3 linked regions of the Drosophila melanogaster genome follow. The protein of the gene in region 2 purifies or fractionates together with the protein of the main gene of each other region. This does not show direct contact. Each region holds a gene or a part of one and is shown on either strand. Other genes may lie near its edges.

Region 1 (4,773 bases), about 16 Mb from region 2:
GGGCGACTTGCTCTTCCACAGCTGGATGTTGGTGCCGCCAGTGAGGAGGCGGGTGCCCTCCAGATTCCAGGACAGGGTCACCACGTTCGAGTGGCTGGTGAAGGAGCCCGTTTGCACCCATCTATGGGGGTATGAAAAAATAAGTTAGTATGTCTTTGGGCTTCTTAATACCATCGCTAGCTTACCTGTAATCCAGAAAGTGGGTATTGTGTTTGCTCGACTCAATCACCGGCGTGGGCTCAAAAATGCATATCTTATTCTCATAGGCTGCTGCTATTTTTCCGGTATCGGTGCTGCAGTCCAGGGCGGATATCTTGACATAGCCATGGTTGGCGCCCGGAATGATCTGGACGCGCTCGAAAGTGCTTGCCAGGATGACCACATTGCAGCCGGCGGCGTAGGCCTGATAATAGGAGGGGCGAAATGGGGATTTTGTGAGTACTGCAGTTAATCTAAGCGTTATACGATCGGTATGTGTTTTCTCAGTTATTTGTTTTTGAGTGGCTATGTGTATATAGGGCGGGTGGGTATATAGCTTTATATCGATAACAATACCCCAACTGTCCAGTTAACTGGCTTATCAGGCTGGCTGATGACAAGGCTCTTGCCACATCATGTTTGGTTACCTGGTTAGCTAAAGTGTGTTTGATTTATTTGTTGAGCTGTCGCTGATATGCTCATTATCGTGGCCAGAAATTTGAATACCCTGTTCGAGTGGGCTAGGGAGGGGGTACACTATTTATAGTGGAAACACTATTCATGTTAATTATCTCTAAAACATTACCGCATGACGATCTGTGGCAAAGGATCATTAGTGCGGGTGTAAAGGGTTGAGTCAGCAGGCTTTATCTTTATAATTGGCTCATTGATGCGGGAGATTACAGATACCCCGTTTAGTTACAATAGCGATAAATGGGGAATATCAACAGAGAATCTGTTTGCAATGGCTTATCGCGATATTGGAATGTGAGCCTTATTTAGCTAGTTAATGAATAAAAACATCATTTCATAAAAACAAGGGTATTAACAACTTCGTCACTACACACTACACACCTGCTAACTTTTTGACATAAAAAGGTTCAACTACTCTGCTTTTCTGTCGTGTTTATATTTAGCTTTTTGCTTTCCGGTTTTCCCATTGCTTTAAATGTCAGCTTATGATGGGTTTATGCGTTTAACTGAGAATATTACCCATTAAGTAAACACACCGATGATACTTTTCAATGGAGGGTTTTCCGAACTTTTCGCTTACCAACCCATTAGTGTTCCCGCGGATAAGATTACTTTATATAAAACTTTGTTACCTGCTGAAAATAAACAGTGATTTTTTTACGGTATCCTATTGTAGTATTGCTATACTATTAAAATTTGACTTTAAATGCGGTTTTAATGAGTTTATTATTTTTGGTTTCCCCTTCCAAACGCTAGGTGGCGCCAGGGGAGTGTGTTCGTGCCGATCATATACTAAATAAATATATGCATACACACATACATCCACACATATGCAAACACTCGAAATTAAACAAATTGAAATGATGGCAAATGATATGGCGCAAGGCGGTGGGCAGTGGGTGGGTGTTGGGTGGTTGGTGGTCGGTCTGTGAACGGGGGACTGTGTCAACGGCGGTGCTGATTACAGAATAGAATATAGTAGAATATAGAATATATATATAATGTACACATACGCCCCGTGGGGCCTCTCATTAGAATGGCAAAATGTGCACAGTAGTTAATTATGCTTCCTTGGGTTTTTGCAGGAAAACACAGACCTTGTTCTCTACATCGGATAAACATTCTGAGTAAACATATAGTACACATGTCTCAATGGGTGTAATGTTTATAAACTCGAAGTTGACATAGCGAAGTTTATAGTGAGCTCTTCAACTTTTTCCTGTTACCGTTAAAGGTTTTAGACACGAAAATGGCCAGATTGCTAAGAGTATTTGGTAGTATATAGTATAGGGATCGAATAAGGCACATTATAAATGCGTGCTCACGTTTTTTTATTATGGCCGTTTATAATTCCAATTTGCCATTGACGTGGGTTGGCGAAAGGGGTTGCGGGGCGGGGGGTGCTGCCATAGAGAAAGGGTTCGTGGGAAGGGGAAGGTGGGCAGCCTGCAAGCTGCGAAATTAGGGCATCAAAGGCCACCTGACCAATCGAAGGGTATACACACACACATACTCGCACTTATATATATATACATGCGTATATACTTTCAAGCACACACTCTCACTGCAACTGGCGCATGTGTGTGTGTGTGTGTGCGTGCGGCTTGTTTACTGCCAGCACTTGACCTTAAAAAAATAAAAATGTAATTAATTGCTGGCCAGGTATGTAAATGCAGGTGAAAACAAACATTGTGTTGTATTTGTTGTGCCACACAACATACACACACACACACTCGAGCTGCACACTTTGTTGTTATCGAATTTTTGCACAGCGCCAGCCAGCAAACACGAAAAGTTCTCTATCTCATCATTTGCATTTGATTTTTTAATTGACCACCAAGTGTGGCAAAAAAAAACGATATAAAATTCAACACACATTCACACACACCGCACACACGCACACCACACACACGCAAATATGTAAATAAAAACATTAAAGACGTGCTCCGATCGGTTCTTGTTGGAATGACGACGATGGTGATGATGATGCCCCGTTTCCAATTGGAAACGGTTCAACCTTTTGAACCAAGTGTGCGTGGGGGGGTTGGGGGGCGTGTCCGGCTGGTTGGGCCGATAATGGTGCACATTCCGCCACCGATTTTCACCCAATTCGATCCGGATTCGGATTGGGATGGCTCTGTGCTTACTGTAAATGGTATTCCTTCCACGGAGCCAATGGCGAAGCACCGGTCGCCTGCATTGCAAGCGCCGCTCAAAATCTGATGACAATTCATAATTTACACACAGTTGATTATCACATCACAGCGCACGGATATTGGGGTCTTGGTTCTTTGGTTTCTAGCACGAATTTTCCTTGCTTCTTGTAACAAACGACAACAAAGTGACATTACATAAAAATTAGAGTTGGGTTCTTGGCCAGCGCGGCCAATCGAACTATCGATATTAGGGATGGCACGGCATGGGAGGCGAAATATCGCCTGAGTAATTTAAATACGGTTACTCCAATTAACCGAAAAACTGTTTATCATTTAATTAAAATATTATTATTAAAATATTTCATTTTATTTTCAAAAAATAGAGGTGAATATTTTAACCTATTGAAATTATATTTAATTATTCTGCTTCGTCTATATTTAGTATTTTTTCTAATATCCGTTCGATTTGATTCGATTTCGATATCAATTTCGATTGCCAATAAAAACGAAATCGTGGAATATATATCGATTCATGGTATCGATAGGCTGTTTCGATATTCAGGGTTGTGTTGCGAGCATTTTTGCATGTTGAAAACGCCGAAAATTAGTTTTTGGTTTTGTTTATAAAAATAGCTCCGAAATGGCGGCAGGTCCAATTGCTGAACGCAACCAAGGTGGGTTTGACCTCCACTCCACATTTGCACCACTTGGGAGACGCTTTAACCCGCCTTTTCCGTTCCTTCCACAGATGCCACCATCTATGCCGGCGGTCTTGACGACAAGGTGTCGGAAACGCTGCTTTGGGAGCTGTTTGTCCAGGCAGGACCAGTGGGTAAGTCCCGGACACACATGTATAGTGCCTAGCAGCTCCCTAATCGTCATGCTTGCAGTGAACGTACACATGCCCAAGGATCGTGTCACCCAAATGCACCAGGGCTATGGATTCGTCGAGTTCCTCAGCGAGGAAGACGCCGACTATGGAATAAAGATCATGAACATGATCAAGCTTTACGGCAAGCCCATTCGCGTGAACAAGGCGTCGGCGCATCAGAAGAACCTGGACGTCGGCGCCAACATCTTCATTGGCAACCTAGACGTGGAAGTGGACGAGAAGCTGCTGTACGATACGTTCTCCGCCTTCGGCGTTATACTGCAGACGCCGAAGATCATGCGAGACCCAGAGACGGGCAAGTCTAAGAGCTTTGCGTTCATCAACTTTGCCAGCTTCGAGGCCAGCGATGCGGCCATGGACGCCATGAACGGCCAGTACCTGTGCAACCGTCCCATTTCCGTGTCCTATGCCTTCAAGAAGGATCACAAGGGCGAGCGTCACGGTTCGGCTGCGGAGCGCCTGTTGGCCGCCCAGAATCCATCGACCCATGCAGACCGGCCGCATCAATTGTTCGCCGATGCACCGGTGCAAACCATGATGCCCCAGATGCCGGGCCAGATCCCGGCCCAGATGCCGGGCCAGATGATGCCGCCACCCATGATGGCGCCGCCGCCGCCGGTGGTGCCCGTTTCGAATAACAATATGGGCATGCTAGCACCGCCGCCGCCCGTTCCCCAGCCTGCACCGTTCCCAGCTACGATACCGCCGCCTCCGTTGCCACCGATGACCGGCGGACAGCCGCCGCTGCCGCCAGCAATGGGCATTCCGCCGCCGCCTCGCATGATGCAACCAAATGCATGGGCACCGCCCGGCATGCCTGCTCCTCCGCCCAGACCACCGCCCACCAACTGGCGTCCGCCGCCCGTGCCCTTCCCACCCACGCCCTACGCACGGCCCTATCAACCCGACGGCTACCAGTACTAAGTCTAGCGTGTAGTGTATACCAATTTGGACGAGACGAGAAATAAACATCAATAGGATTCATCAATGAAGCCTGCTCTGGGATATGTTAAGATTTCCATTCTTCTTTCTAATATGCATTTAACAACCGGG
Region 2 (7,646 bases):
GGATATCCCAATTAGATCGAAACAATTCGAATTGGTTATTTGTTTTTCAATTAGGTTCCTTCTGCTTGGTTTGAAAAATTCAACTTAACAATAATTTCGAATCAGTTTCGTTGAATATGTTTATTAATTAAATGATTCATATCGGAATTCAATCATTTGAATGTATGTATAGTCTGGAAGCTGTTAAAATCTACTAAGAAAATATATTCACGCATTCATATATATGATTAAGATATATATGTATGTTCTTGGGGAATTTAGTCGAGAGTTGGCTTTAAAGTGGGTTGCTTGTATTGTATGCTTAAACTATCTGTTGTCTCTGTCCTTTTTGTGCAACCCGAACATTTTTGTAAGAGACCGTTCGGAATTATTGATAAATGATTACAGTTTTTATCATAGTAGGCCACTTTTGTATACATGAGTTTTAATCTAATCGCTGGATTAGATTTCTCATCAGCCCGTGGACTAAAATTCTTTTTCTGCCTGTCTCAACTTCGTTTTATAATTTGTGTATGAATCTGTTAAAAAACGAAGCAGGGAAACGACGTATCCCTTCAATTTGGTTGTCGTCATTTCAAAACAAGGTAATTAAGTATAAATCATTGCTGTAGACGCAACATATTTTGCAAAAGTTTATCGTGACAACTATTAGGCGAAATGTTCATCTCAAGATCCTTCTTAAATATTTTCTATATTATATGTCAATGTGTACACATTGTTTTCCCTCCGCAGCTAGCTAATTATATATGTACTTTAGGATAATCATACCATTTTCCCCCTCCAACTCCTTTTAATAACACCACGAAAATACAGTTTTATTCAAGGGATGTTATCCTTTTTTAAAAAATTTCTAAGTTTTACTAACCTTGTTTAGGTGGTGTAAATATGTATATGAAGTTATTGTTTTATTTTTGGTAGCAGTAAGTTCAGTAGTGGCACAGCACAATAATCCTTTAGCACACACACACATGCACTTACAAGAAGCACACACACAGCCTCTTATGCACACACACAAGCTCGCAAACAAGAAACTTCTGCTTTTCAAGTGGCATACATAGCTTCTAAGGATTCACATGGCTCTTCTACATAATTTATTCAATTTCGTTCCACTTTGCTTGTATTTTCTTTTTTTTTTTTTGTATATTTCCCTCTAGCATAATTTTAACAAGTTTTCCTTGGCAAAAATACAACAAAATTGGAATTGTCTTCGAAGAGTCGAAACAAGTTGTTGGGAACTGATGATCGTGCAGTTTTTAGAGAAACTAGCACAAACAAATGGAATTCTCTGCATTAACCCAAGTCGTTTATACGACGCTATCCTATTTGTATTCAGTACGAGTATGATGGAATATATCGCGGTTTCGGTTCTAAATCATCCAATGGTAAGTCGGAACTTTCTATATCTGGTTACAGCGCAAAAAGGTATATTGTTTGATATAATTTCTGTTGGAAGACGTTAGCAAACAAAATGGAAACCCAATTTGATGTTGTCACAACTGTTTCCCCGGCGTTATTACAACTAAACTGTGCGTTTCGCGACTGTAAGACAAGTTAGCAGGATTTACGTTTCTTAATTACAATTAAATAACAATATGCACCCTTGTGCAGTGTTGGAAAGAACGTCGGTTTTTATTGTTTAGGGAATTATTAATAAAATACTCTTTTCTAATATCCTTTGCCTTATAAACCCGAAAAGCACAGTTTCCGCTTTATGTACACATTCTGTATAATATGGTAGTTATGTTTATCTTTTGCTTAGTTTCATATTTCATTGTGCAAATTGACATTCCAAGTAAGAATTGTGGAAACTCTTGTGGTTTGATTTTCTTATCTTTCTACACAGTTTTTTTTGGGTTCTTTGTTCTTCCTTTATAGTTTGGCGAAAAAAGTTATTATTATATAAAAGGATTGCGGCTTTTATTCTTAATTTTTGTTTGTTTTGCTAATACTTTTTTCCATTTTTTTTTTCATTTTAATTAATTTAATTAAGCAACAATAACACGGTGATGTTGAAAAATTTAGCTACGATTAATTTAATTAAAAATATGTAAACTTGGGCGAGAGGCTTTTTTTTAATTTCCAGTTTGGGATAAATAATGTGGTTTCAGGAATCATCTGGGATGATCCTGGCGCCACATTCACACGCGCTCTCTAGGCCCTTGCTTTAGGATTCGTTATATAAATAGCTATATATAGATGTATATCAGTATTTGTATAGTTATATATATGTGTATATAGATGCCCCGCACAGTGCGTTATGGCCTTGGCATATTGGCATGCTTTCATATAAAATAAATAATTAACACTTGTCAAATACTTTAGGTTAGGCCGATTCCCCCAAAACCTAAACCACACGCAGCTTGGCGCTGCGGCAGCGTTGGCGAGGATTGCCCAGCGTTTGTGGATGTGAACCAAGCTTCTGCGCATTGTCCTTGACAAGACGACGCGGATTGGCACAGCAGCATTGGATTAGAATACTATAGATTCGGAAAAGTAGTCGGACTATCTGCCGCTTGGCCTGGCGCCGCGGACACCATGCAGCCGCCCAGGATTAGGAGTGCAGGTTGGCTCGATCTTTGGCCCGCCTCTTGGCGAGCATGGAAAGTTCTACGGGTCCCACATTCGCCGCCTGGGGTATGGCAATAGCCCGGAAAGTGGCATCAACAGCGCCTCTTAAGGCCATGGAGATGTGATTCTGCTGCTGCTGCTGGGCGCCCAGCGAAAGTTGGGATCCGGGCGCCACCGCATACTCTGTAAGCTGTACGCCGCCGGCGAATTGCTCCCGCAGCCAGTCGTGCTCAAGTATTCGCGCCGCCGTCGGCCGATTCTCCGGTACTATGTGTAGCATCTGACGCAAAAGTTCTTTGGCCGGCACACTGATCAGTGCCCAGCGACTGCTTGTGAAGTCAATTTGTCCTGATCCGATGCGCTTCAGTATTACGTCCGGTGAATCATTTGGAGTGCTGGCGAAAGGCGTCCGGCCGGATAACATGATGTAAAGCAGCACACCGAGCGACCAGATGTCGCAAGCCAGGTCATAGCCCTGTCTCTTTAGAACCTCGGGAGCCACAAAATTGGCTGTGTAGCATGGCGTCATCAGGAGGCCGTTGTCCGCGCGCAGCTGCTTCGCGAAACCTAAGCGGAAATCGGAAGGTTACTCCTGCTCTACCAACAAGAAATACTCGCACAGAAAAATATATAGCCTTGCAGAAATAAATGCTTTCTGAATTTAAATATTATCAAATGATTTCAATTGCAATAGGATGGAACTTTGGCTAAATAAGATCTTAAAATGAAAAACCTTCTGTTTGGAGAAAAGAAACCTTTAAAATTGCAAATAACAAAGTAACTTAGAAAACAAATAATAGTTAAAGGAATTAAAAATTACGAAAGTTTAGCTTTTAAAGTGAATCATGTTTGTCAGCAATTGGAAAATTTACTGCAAGGCTATAATAAAATATATTTAACTAGTTCCGCTCCGCACTCACCCAAATCGCAGAGCTTTAGGGTCTCGGGAGTTTGCCGCATACTGGCATATATCATATTTGAAGGCTTAAGATCTCGATGGACCACGCCATGTTCATGGAGATATGCTACCGCAGATGCAATTGTCCTTAACACCGCGCTGGCCTCACTCTCGCACATCTGGCCCACGGCAAGTATCCGATCGAGAAGCTCGCCACCCTTAAGCAGCTCCATCACAAGATATGCGGACCCCGCATCCTCGTAAACAGAGTACAGAGTGACGATATTTGGGTGGTTGCCGTACCTCAGCATAATCTCCACCTCCTCCCAACAATCGGCAGAAGTGGATGTGGATGCTGCGGCCACAGCTGCCTTTTCGATTACTTTTACTGCGTAATGTTTCTTGGAGGCTCGATGCTCGCACAACCGACAAACTGAAAAGGTTCCACGTCCCAGTTCTTGCAGTAGATTATATTCCGCATGGAAGTTTCCGGGAAGAACACCAGGTAATGTTCGAGGGGCTCCCACTGGAGCAGCAGGAATAGGAGCTATACTATGCAGAGGACTGGCGCTGGTGGAGCACATATTCGAGCCAGCACACTGACCTTCCAGAAGGACAGGAGCCACAAAGCTGAACCCGCGGAAGATCTCATGGGCAGATGCGGAGATCGGGCCACCCGGAGAATCCCTGGGGGACTTTGAGGTGTACTCCACATCAAAGTAAAAGGCATCGTCACGGCTAACCGCCGGTATGAAAGGCGGACGCACCTGCTTTCGTTCTAATCTCACCCAGTCGATGGTGGCAAAAAAGCAGTGCGCCTTGATGTCCAGAATTCCTTGGGCACCCGCACCCAAACGATTCTGGGGGTTTCTTTTGAAGAGAGCACGTAGCAGGGATTGCGCCTCTGGCGACAAATTCTCCGGCATGCCCAGCTTACTTCTAAGGATCTGATTCATAGTCTCTTGGCGGGTTTGGCCATGAAAGGGTAAATTCCCCGTTAACATTTCGTACATGAGCACCCCGAAACTCCACCAATCAGCGGCAAAATCGTGTCCCTTTCGGTTCACGATCTCCGGCGCCATGTATTCTACGGTTCCACAAAAGCTATATGTTTTTGAGCCATCCAAAGGCTGCTTGGATAGACCAAAGTCCGTCAAGGCTATATGGCCATGCTCGTCCAGTAGAATATTTTCCGGTTTCAGATCCCTGTAGATAATGCCCAATGTGTGTAGGTGATTCATAGCTAGCGCCAGTTCCGCTAAATAGAACTTGACATCTTCTTCCGTAAACATTACTTCTTTGGATAGACGGGTAAACAGATCACCGCCACGAAGAAAATCCAGTATCAAGTAGAGTTTTCCGGGAGTTTGGAAGGCATAGTGAAGACGTACGATGAAAGCATGACCCACGTCCGCTAGTATTTTTCGTTCATTTGTGCTCCTTACGCGATCTTTTACTTTTAGGGTGGCCTTTTTGAGCACCTTCATGGCATAGAGTGTTCCTGCATCTTTGCCTATGATCTTTCGCACTAGAAACACCTTTCCAAAGCTACCTTCGCCCAGAACCCGTAGGAGCTCGAACTGGGAAGGATCGGCCTTGTCGTGACCCTCCTTGATGACTTCCTTAAGCTCGAATTCGTTTTCTGTTTCATATAGGGGCTCGGTGTCTTCTAAATCAGGTGCACTTCGCCCAGTAGCCCCTTCTCTCCTACCGCCAGTTTCCACGCCTCCCTGGGACTCGGAATCACTCAGCTCCATAAGTTCTGGCGGCGGGCACAAGGTTCGATGCGTCGGCCTTTTCCTAGCGGAATCCAAGTCTGCTGTTGGTGAGATGTGATGCTGCTCGAGGGCCGCTTGCAGAGCAGATTGCTGTTGCACCTGTTGCAGCTGCTGGCGGCGTTGCGATGATGTCACAGTGGTCACCGAGGAAGTGACACCGCTGTTGCCTCCGCCACTCTCATCGTCCTCGGTGGGCGTGTGCTCCATGGGCGTGACCGCCAGGCTGCTGCAGCCGGACGAGGTAATTTGCATGCGCTGGCGCAGCTGCAGACCCAATCCGCTGCTGCTGCATTGCTGCTCCGCATTGTTGCTGCTGCTGGTGGAGGACACATGCTGCTGCTGCTGCTGCTGCTGAGGCTGCTGGCGGAGATCCTTTTGCGAATCGGCCAGCGGCATGACTTCGGTGGCTGCTAGCGTTGTGAGGCAACTGCTCCTAGCGGTTCCTTTGTTTCCAGATCCTGATGCACAATGCTAGAGCCCGAGTTCCCCCTGCGTTTCCAACTCCTCCTGCTGCTCCTCCTCCACCGAACTCTCCCTACTTCCGATTTCACTTTTCTTTTTTATTACTTCCGCTGCGTGGGCGTCGCAGTCGACTGCGCTGTTGCCTCTCCGGATTTCTCTGGTTTCCCTGCTGCTCCTACGGCCAACAAGCAGCGCTTTCCTAATGCGCCCACGTTTCGTACGCCGTCTGCTTTACTATCCGCTTCGCAATCCGCACAGCTGTGTTGCTTCTTATCACTATTATTTACACATTCACAATAAAGTTTTTTTAGAGCTGCAAAAAAATCGATGTTACCATCGATTACATCGATAGTTTCAGTTTTCCGAAAACATCGATTTACTTTTTGCAGCCGATGTTTTTACTGTGCGTATTCAGCAAATTTTTGTTTACACTTTTAATACATTCTTTCGGTTTTAAAAGTCTATATAACTCAATTAAAAAAAAAAAAACATATAAATATAGTTTTATTTGAGAATGATTTGGCCCGTGTGACCGTGTCTAGCAATATACCAAACGCGAAAAATACCAATTCATTACGAAAACGTCGTCACGAAACAAGTTATCTTGTGTAAACCGTCTAAAAACCGTTATTATAAATTTCTATATCCCTTTTATATTGATTTCCGGAAACTTTGCTAAATAAATACAACGGTTTTGCAGACTTACTTACTTATATTAGCCGCAACATTCCAAATTCAATTGGTAAAAAACTAATGGATATCGTACAAGCGCTTTTAAAAACAATAAAAAAAAAAACATTGTGCTTATAGATTCAGTATTATTATTGCTTCAAAAGTGGACAACAACCACTTTTCATATATAAAAGTAGGAGTAGTAGGAGTAGCTTACTTACTTAGTGCAAATCTGAAGGGCGCAACGATAGACGGATACAATACTGACCACAAAATGAAGAAACAGGGCAAAAATTAGGCCGCAGGCAGCGGAAACCTCGCTGTTGGTATCGATCAAGTCGAACTAGAATGGATGAAACCATTAAAAAAACATGCCTCAATGCGAAGAGCCCGGCTTTACCTGTTCACCCTTTTGCTCCGCCATCCTGTTGAGGTCCCTTGACAATCCCACGCCGGAAATAGCCAGAGCCAGGGTGCTGCTGGCGATGCAGACCAAACTGAGGGCCAAAAACGCTGTCTGGGTTTTGCGCATGCTCACCACTCCAAGGGAGCCCGTAACGGCTGCTATCAATCCCGTCCAGATGCCGCATCCCGCCAGTGAGAGCGCTGCCTCTCGGACGATCAGAAGTGATCCCAGGGCCACCAGCGATATGGCCAGGAGCAACTGGAGAGTGCCCAACACTATTTGCAGTGGAAATGCCGAGCAGCATTCATTGCTCGCCTTGCGCTTGCGCCGATCTTTCGAGGAAAGCGATGAGCCACTGCCTCCACCCTCGCTGCCCTCCTTGTACTTAATAAATTCCGGTGGACAGCGCTGTTTACGACTGATCCTGGAGTCCAAAGTGGTGGCCCCACTCTTAGTGCCATTCACCTGCACAGAAGAAAAAATGTGTTTGGTACAATATTCGATTGTCTGAGGATTAATGAGAGCAAGGCAGTACAGAAATGGACAATTAAAGATTCTCTAGCCCTATTAGGTGATTCAACTGATACAAATTGATTAATTTTGGTTGACTTTTTGTAGGACCTACCTGGTTTGGTTGCCGCGAAGCAATAGCTTCCTGCAGCTGTTGTTTGAACTCTTGGTGCGAAATAAGATTGGGCTTATTATCGTCATCATTGTTTGCCTGGGATTTTTGGGCATCCAAGTCTAGGGCGGCGGATAGGAGTTTCACCGCCGGCGGCTTCTCATCGTAGACAGGACTCGAATAGATGTGACTTTGGGCATCCTGGCGCGCCTGCTCCTGGTCCTCCTGCTGTTTTCGATT
Region 3 (4,933 bases), on a different chromosome or scaffold from region 2:
GTTATTATTAGTTTAAGGCATATTTGCATTGACTTTTGACTAGATTATATTTTAGCAAAGCTTTTCATTTGCATTTTCCAATGTTTTGTTCGAGTAACTAATTTTTGTCAATGCAAATGTACCTAATTCTATTCCGGTGCACTTCTAAATCTTCTGGATTTTTGAATATATTAAGATTTCCAATTAGGAATATCCAAAGAATACCAATCAATGCCTGAACAACTCTAATGAAAACCTATCCTAATGAACCTACCATTCAAGATACCCCAAAATACAATCAATCACTTAAAGATTCAATCATTTGATCACTCACCTTCCATGCGTTGACCTTGGGCGGTGGGGCGGCAATGAATCGCTTGGGCGGCGGAGCTGCTCCAGCGGCGCCTTTCTCGCCCGCCTGCTGATCCCCGTCGGCGGACTTGGCCTCGTTGCCGCTGCTGCCGGCTCCCTCGATGCTGGCACTGGGCGAGGTATCCTTGCGATCCTTGTGTACTTTCGGTCCACCAGGAACGGCGGAGGACACAGCTCCAGCATTGGATCCGGCTGCGCCAGCAGCTCCAGCTGCCGATTTGCGGGGACTACCGCCGCGCGGCGCACGTGGGCGCACTGACTTGCGTTCGGTGTCGGAGGATCCGGGGACGCGGCGGCCACCAGCCTGCTGGGGTTTCTGACCATCGCCACGTCCTCCGGCCGGCTGCTGATCGCGCGGCTTCTCTTTGCGCGCCTTTTTGCGATCGCGGCGGTGATGCGATAGTACCGGCACGAAGTCGTTGTTGTCGTCCAATTCCGATGAGTTCTCGGCGGTGTTATCTCCACCGGAGGCAGCGGCACGCTTCTCACCCGTCTGGGCTAGGCTAACGCTGCCGACGATTGGCGATTCGCCGGCTGCCTCGGCGGCAGCGGCTTCCTCGCTCCACGACTTGAAGCTCTTCAGATTGGGCTGGTTCTCTTTGTTGTCCACGGTGGCTCTGGCGGTGGTGGTGGTGGTGTTGCTGGTGCCGGACTTCTTGGTCTCCAGGTTCTGCACCACATTGGCGTAGGAAGTGGTGGCGCTGCCCGAGGCGGCGACAGTGGCCACAGGAGCGGCACCTCCCGTGGATGGCGTCTCCTCCTTGCTGGACATGCTCCTCAGTTGCGGCTGCTACTCCTGCTGTTTCTTTGACTCCGGTTTCCTCTCCAGAGTGGGCAGCACACTCGCTGCTCCTGCTCCGGCTACGTCAGCGGCTGATCCTCGTTGTCGGGTTGGGGAAACTCTTGTCTGCTTCCTTGCCTGCTCAACGGGATGTGGTGGCTCCAGAGATAGGCTTCCAAACTGAAATGGTTGGCAATAGAAGGATTAGTTTTCACAGGCCTGTTTGGTAGGAACAAGAGGAAAATCCAGGCCAAAGACTACAATTACGTCATTTTATAACTTTTCCACGCAGTGTTACTATAGCTAAGCTTGACTGTTTTGGGTCATTTACATATAGAACTATTCAGGGCAATTCTGCGGTCAATACTAATGCAATTTGTATAGTAATTTGCATTAACTTAAACTTTTAAGTGAGCTAATAAATTCAAGTCAACATCTCGAGTTTTAATGGCCTTATTGGCCGTAGAAAAATAGACTTTTGAAATTAAACTGATACCAATGCAAAGAAAGAGTGGAATGGAAACTAAAACCTCTTTACTAAAACTAAAGAATGGCCATCTAAGCCCAGCTTTACTGTGCCTACTAGGATTTTCCAACAAGATTGCGAGTTGGGCGAACGCGAGGTGTTTGTTGCTCAATTACGGCGATTAATCTCAAGTTCGCCCTTCTGCAATAATATTTACATCTTTACTTAATGCAACTATTACAGCACACACACATACGCACATACACTGCACTTTGAACTTGGGGCTTTCGCAATGGGGATTACTATTCTTGTGGGACTGCAGAAGAGCCTCCCGAGGAGTGCGGTGATTTTTTAGGAACTGGCCATCGGAAAAGCCTCTCCCAGCGGCCGTTTTCTCGATTTTCCTCAGCTGTCACGCTCCTCGGCGAATTGAATTTACTGCCACGGATTTTGCACGATTATATACTGCAGTTTGGGCGAGCGGAGAAAATCCGTTGCGAGGCACGACCAATCGTGAATCGAGAGGTATTATATTATTATGCAGCAGCCACACACAGCAGTGTTCCAAAGAAGAAGAAGAAGTGAGGTTAGATTTTTGCCCCACACAAGAGGAAGAGGAAGCAGCAACACAACGCTAAGCGACCAGGGCTGCCGCAAAGCGAGCTGCCCACTTGCCAAACTGGAGTACAACGTAATGGCATGGCGTTGAACGTAACCGGTAATACGACAGGAAATCGAAGCGAATTAAAGGTGCAAATAAAAGAAACTGCGTTTATAGCTACAATTTGGTTTTATTATACCCTGTGGCCTACCACAATATCCCTGTTTTCGCTTCACCCAATATTATGCAATATCCAATGCACTCGGCTAACGGCCTGCATTGCTGTTAGTGCCGCCCTGGTCGGGCCTTTTAAAACAGCTGATTTCGACTGCAGCTCGCCTCGAATTTCAAAACGATGCACGCGGTCACACACACATACACAAGTTAAGGTTCAGATTGATTTGAATACGCACCAGAGGAGATTGAAATGGAAACAAGAATTGTATTTTATTCCGCTATCTCTCCCACTTCTTGTTTCGTACGTTTCGTATGTTCACTACGCACTTTCCGCTCCGCGTGTTAACACGTACACAAGTGTGTGTGTGCGTGCGTGTGTTGTTATTGTTGCTTTGCTTTTGCTTTTGCGGGTTTCCTTGCACACACACTTTCGCACCACTACGCACCTCGAATCACTGCCTCTCGCTCGCACTCACTCACGCGCTGCTGGGCAGAACGTTACGAATATTATTTATCGGGTTTTTTCGCAATTGCACACACACTCGCTGCGTTATTGGTTGCACCGTACTTGCGCCGTTCACTTGTCTTGTCAATTAACCGCAATTAGTCAATTAATTGGAGCATTATACCGCCGAAACGAAAATCAAAATCGGTTACCAGACATGTGGTTCTACGGGTCCAAAAGAAAAAGAGCAGGGTTGTTGTTCAATTCGTTTGCGTTGCGTTGCGATAGATATCGACCGATGTGATAGCTACGGTTAATAGAGATGTCCCAACCGGCTCGCAACTGATTTAATTTATTTAATGTTGTTTTTAAATATGATTTTGAAATATCTTCCAGAAAGAATTACTTTTCGAGAACAAACTTATTTTTTCCCCATTTACCACTTGATTTGAAATTGAAAATAGGACATTCAAATTTATGCGGCTTATCGATTTCACACTACTTAAGTGCTCGGAATATCATTTATTTTTATCAGAATTTATTTTTATTTAGTTTTATCAGAATTAAATATATATGTAATTTTTCTTTTTCTAAAATTTACAACGTGATTAACATAACGTAAGCAATAACGTGACGTGGCCCTCGTTTTTTAAACATTTGAAACAAATGTTTAATGTCAGATAAGCATTTTTTGTAAAGTGAGGTACATATAGATCTTTGTTTGGTTTTTCCCGTTTTCAAACAAATTTACTGGTTAAACATTTTCCAATCCATTTTTAATTGAAAGCAGCAAAACACTTTTAAAGAAAAACTGGAAATAATTATATTTCAATTGCACATTCACAAAAAGTAGTGGGTCCACAACACAAAGGGTCAGTACAGCTACAAATGTAGGGGTTAAACATATGTGGCTTCAGCCAGAAGGAGCACAAATGGGTTAAGGGTTCGGATTTTGATCCGACAAAATACCAGAAAATTTTAACTTAAGTGCTAGGGTTTGTTTTGTTTTTCTCAGGCAGATACTAAAATGGAATTCTTGAGACGGTGCGAGCCAGTTAGCCAGATAGTTGGGGCGCCTACTCCACGGTCACCGACTTGGCCAGGTTCCTGGGGCAGTCCACGTCGCAGCCGCGGAGCACGGCGATGTGGTAGGACAGCAGCTGGAGCGGAATCACCGTGAGCACGCCCTGCAGGCAGTCCACGGTCCTCGGGATCTGCAGCGAACGCGTGGAGAAGGACATGGTCTCGTTGTCGCCCTCCTCGCAGATTAGGATCGGTCTGCCCTTGCGGGACGTCACCTGCTGCAGTGCATTCATGCACTTGGTGTACACCGGATCCCGCAGCACGATCATCAGCACGGGCATCTCCTTGTCCACCAGGGCCAGTGGTCCGTGTTTCAGTTCTCCAGCCAGGATTCCTTCGCTGTGCATGTACGTCAGCTCCTTGACTTTCTGCAATGAGCAAGTTAATTGATTAAATTCAGCTCATGAAGCGTGGGACAAACATAATAATTAATTTAAGTGCACTTGGCAAATAAACAAGTTAAGTGAATTGTTGACATCGGTTATTTTCCATCATTACGTTCCCATGCATGCATTACGATGCATAAATGAGATTCGATTAAATTATAGCTCAAATTATCAAATGGATTACCAGTGCGCCCTCCAAACAGGTGGCGAAGTTGAAGCCCCTGCCCATAATGAGCAGCGACTTGTGCTCGTACAACTCCTTGGCAAGCTGCTGCACCTGCGAGTTCAGCTTGAGGACAGTCCTAATGTGCTCGTCCAGCTGCGATAGGCCATCGATGATCTCCAAGCGGCGCTGTTGCAGCGAGAGACGATCCTCCGACATGACCAAGGCGAACATAACCAGCGAAATGAACTGGGAGGTGTAGGCCTTCGTGGAGGCCACTCCGATCTCGGGTCCAGCGTTGATGTGGACGCCACAGTGCGACTCGCGGCAGATGCTGCTGCCCACCGTGTTGGTAACGCCCACGATGAGCGCTCCTCGCTGCTTGCAGTATCTGAGCGCCATCAGGGTGTCCGCTGTCTCGCCCGATTGGGAGATGAAGAAGCACACGTCGTCCCGGAAAATGGGCGTGTTTCTGTCCAG

The links.
Region 1: the proteins of S6kII (region 2) and Rbcn-3A purify together in Drosophila melanogaster (affinity purification with mass spectrometry, with the first as the bait; one large-scale study listed by BioGRID). This does not show direct contact.
Region 3: the proteins of S6kII (region 2) and larp purify together in Drosophila melanogaster (affinity purification with mass spectrometry, with the first as the bait; one large-scale study listed by BioGRID). This does not show direct contact.

The regions. Positions count from the first base shown.
Region 1 is NC_004354.4:6,252,443-6,257,215, forward strand, and holds the start of Rbcn-3A (Rabconnectin-3A), read right to left. Parts: upstream 3,046-4,773; 5' UTR 2,907-3,045; coding exon 2,820-2,906; intron 404-2,819; coding exon 186-403; intron 122-185; coding exon 1-121. Other genes in the region: Spx (spliceosomal protein on the X), read left to right, coding at 3,469-3,502, 3,577-3,660, 3,719-4,644.
Region 2 is NC_004354.4:22,528,345-22,535,990, reverse strand, and holds the start of S6kII (ribosomal protein S6 kinase II), read right to left. Parts: upstream 6,028-7,646; 5' UTR 5,641-6,027; coding exon 3,489-5,640; intron 3,136-3,488; coding exon 2,552-3,135; 3' UTR 1-2,551. Other genes in the region: CG17600 (uncharacterized protein), read right to left, coding at 6,600-6,721, 6,779-7,249, 7,410-7,646.
Region 3 is NT_033777.3:28,333,396-28,338,328, forward strand, and holds the start of larp (La related protein), read right to left. Parts: upstream 3,046-4,933; 5' UTR 2,613-3,045; intron 2,147-2,612; exon of another isoform or gene 1,859-2,146; intron 1,313-1,858; 5' UTR 1,124-1,312; coding exon 314-1,123; intron 1-313. Other genes in the region: Gfat2 (Glutamine:fructose-6-phosphate aminotransferase 2), read right to left, coding at 3,898-4,272, 4,475-4,933. UniProt on the Drosophila melanogaster protein: RNA-binding protein that regulates the translation of specific target mRNA species downstream of the mTORC1 complex, in function of growth signals and nutrient availability.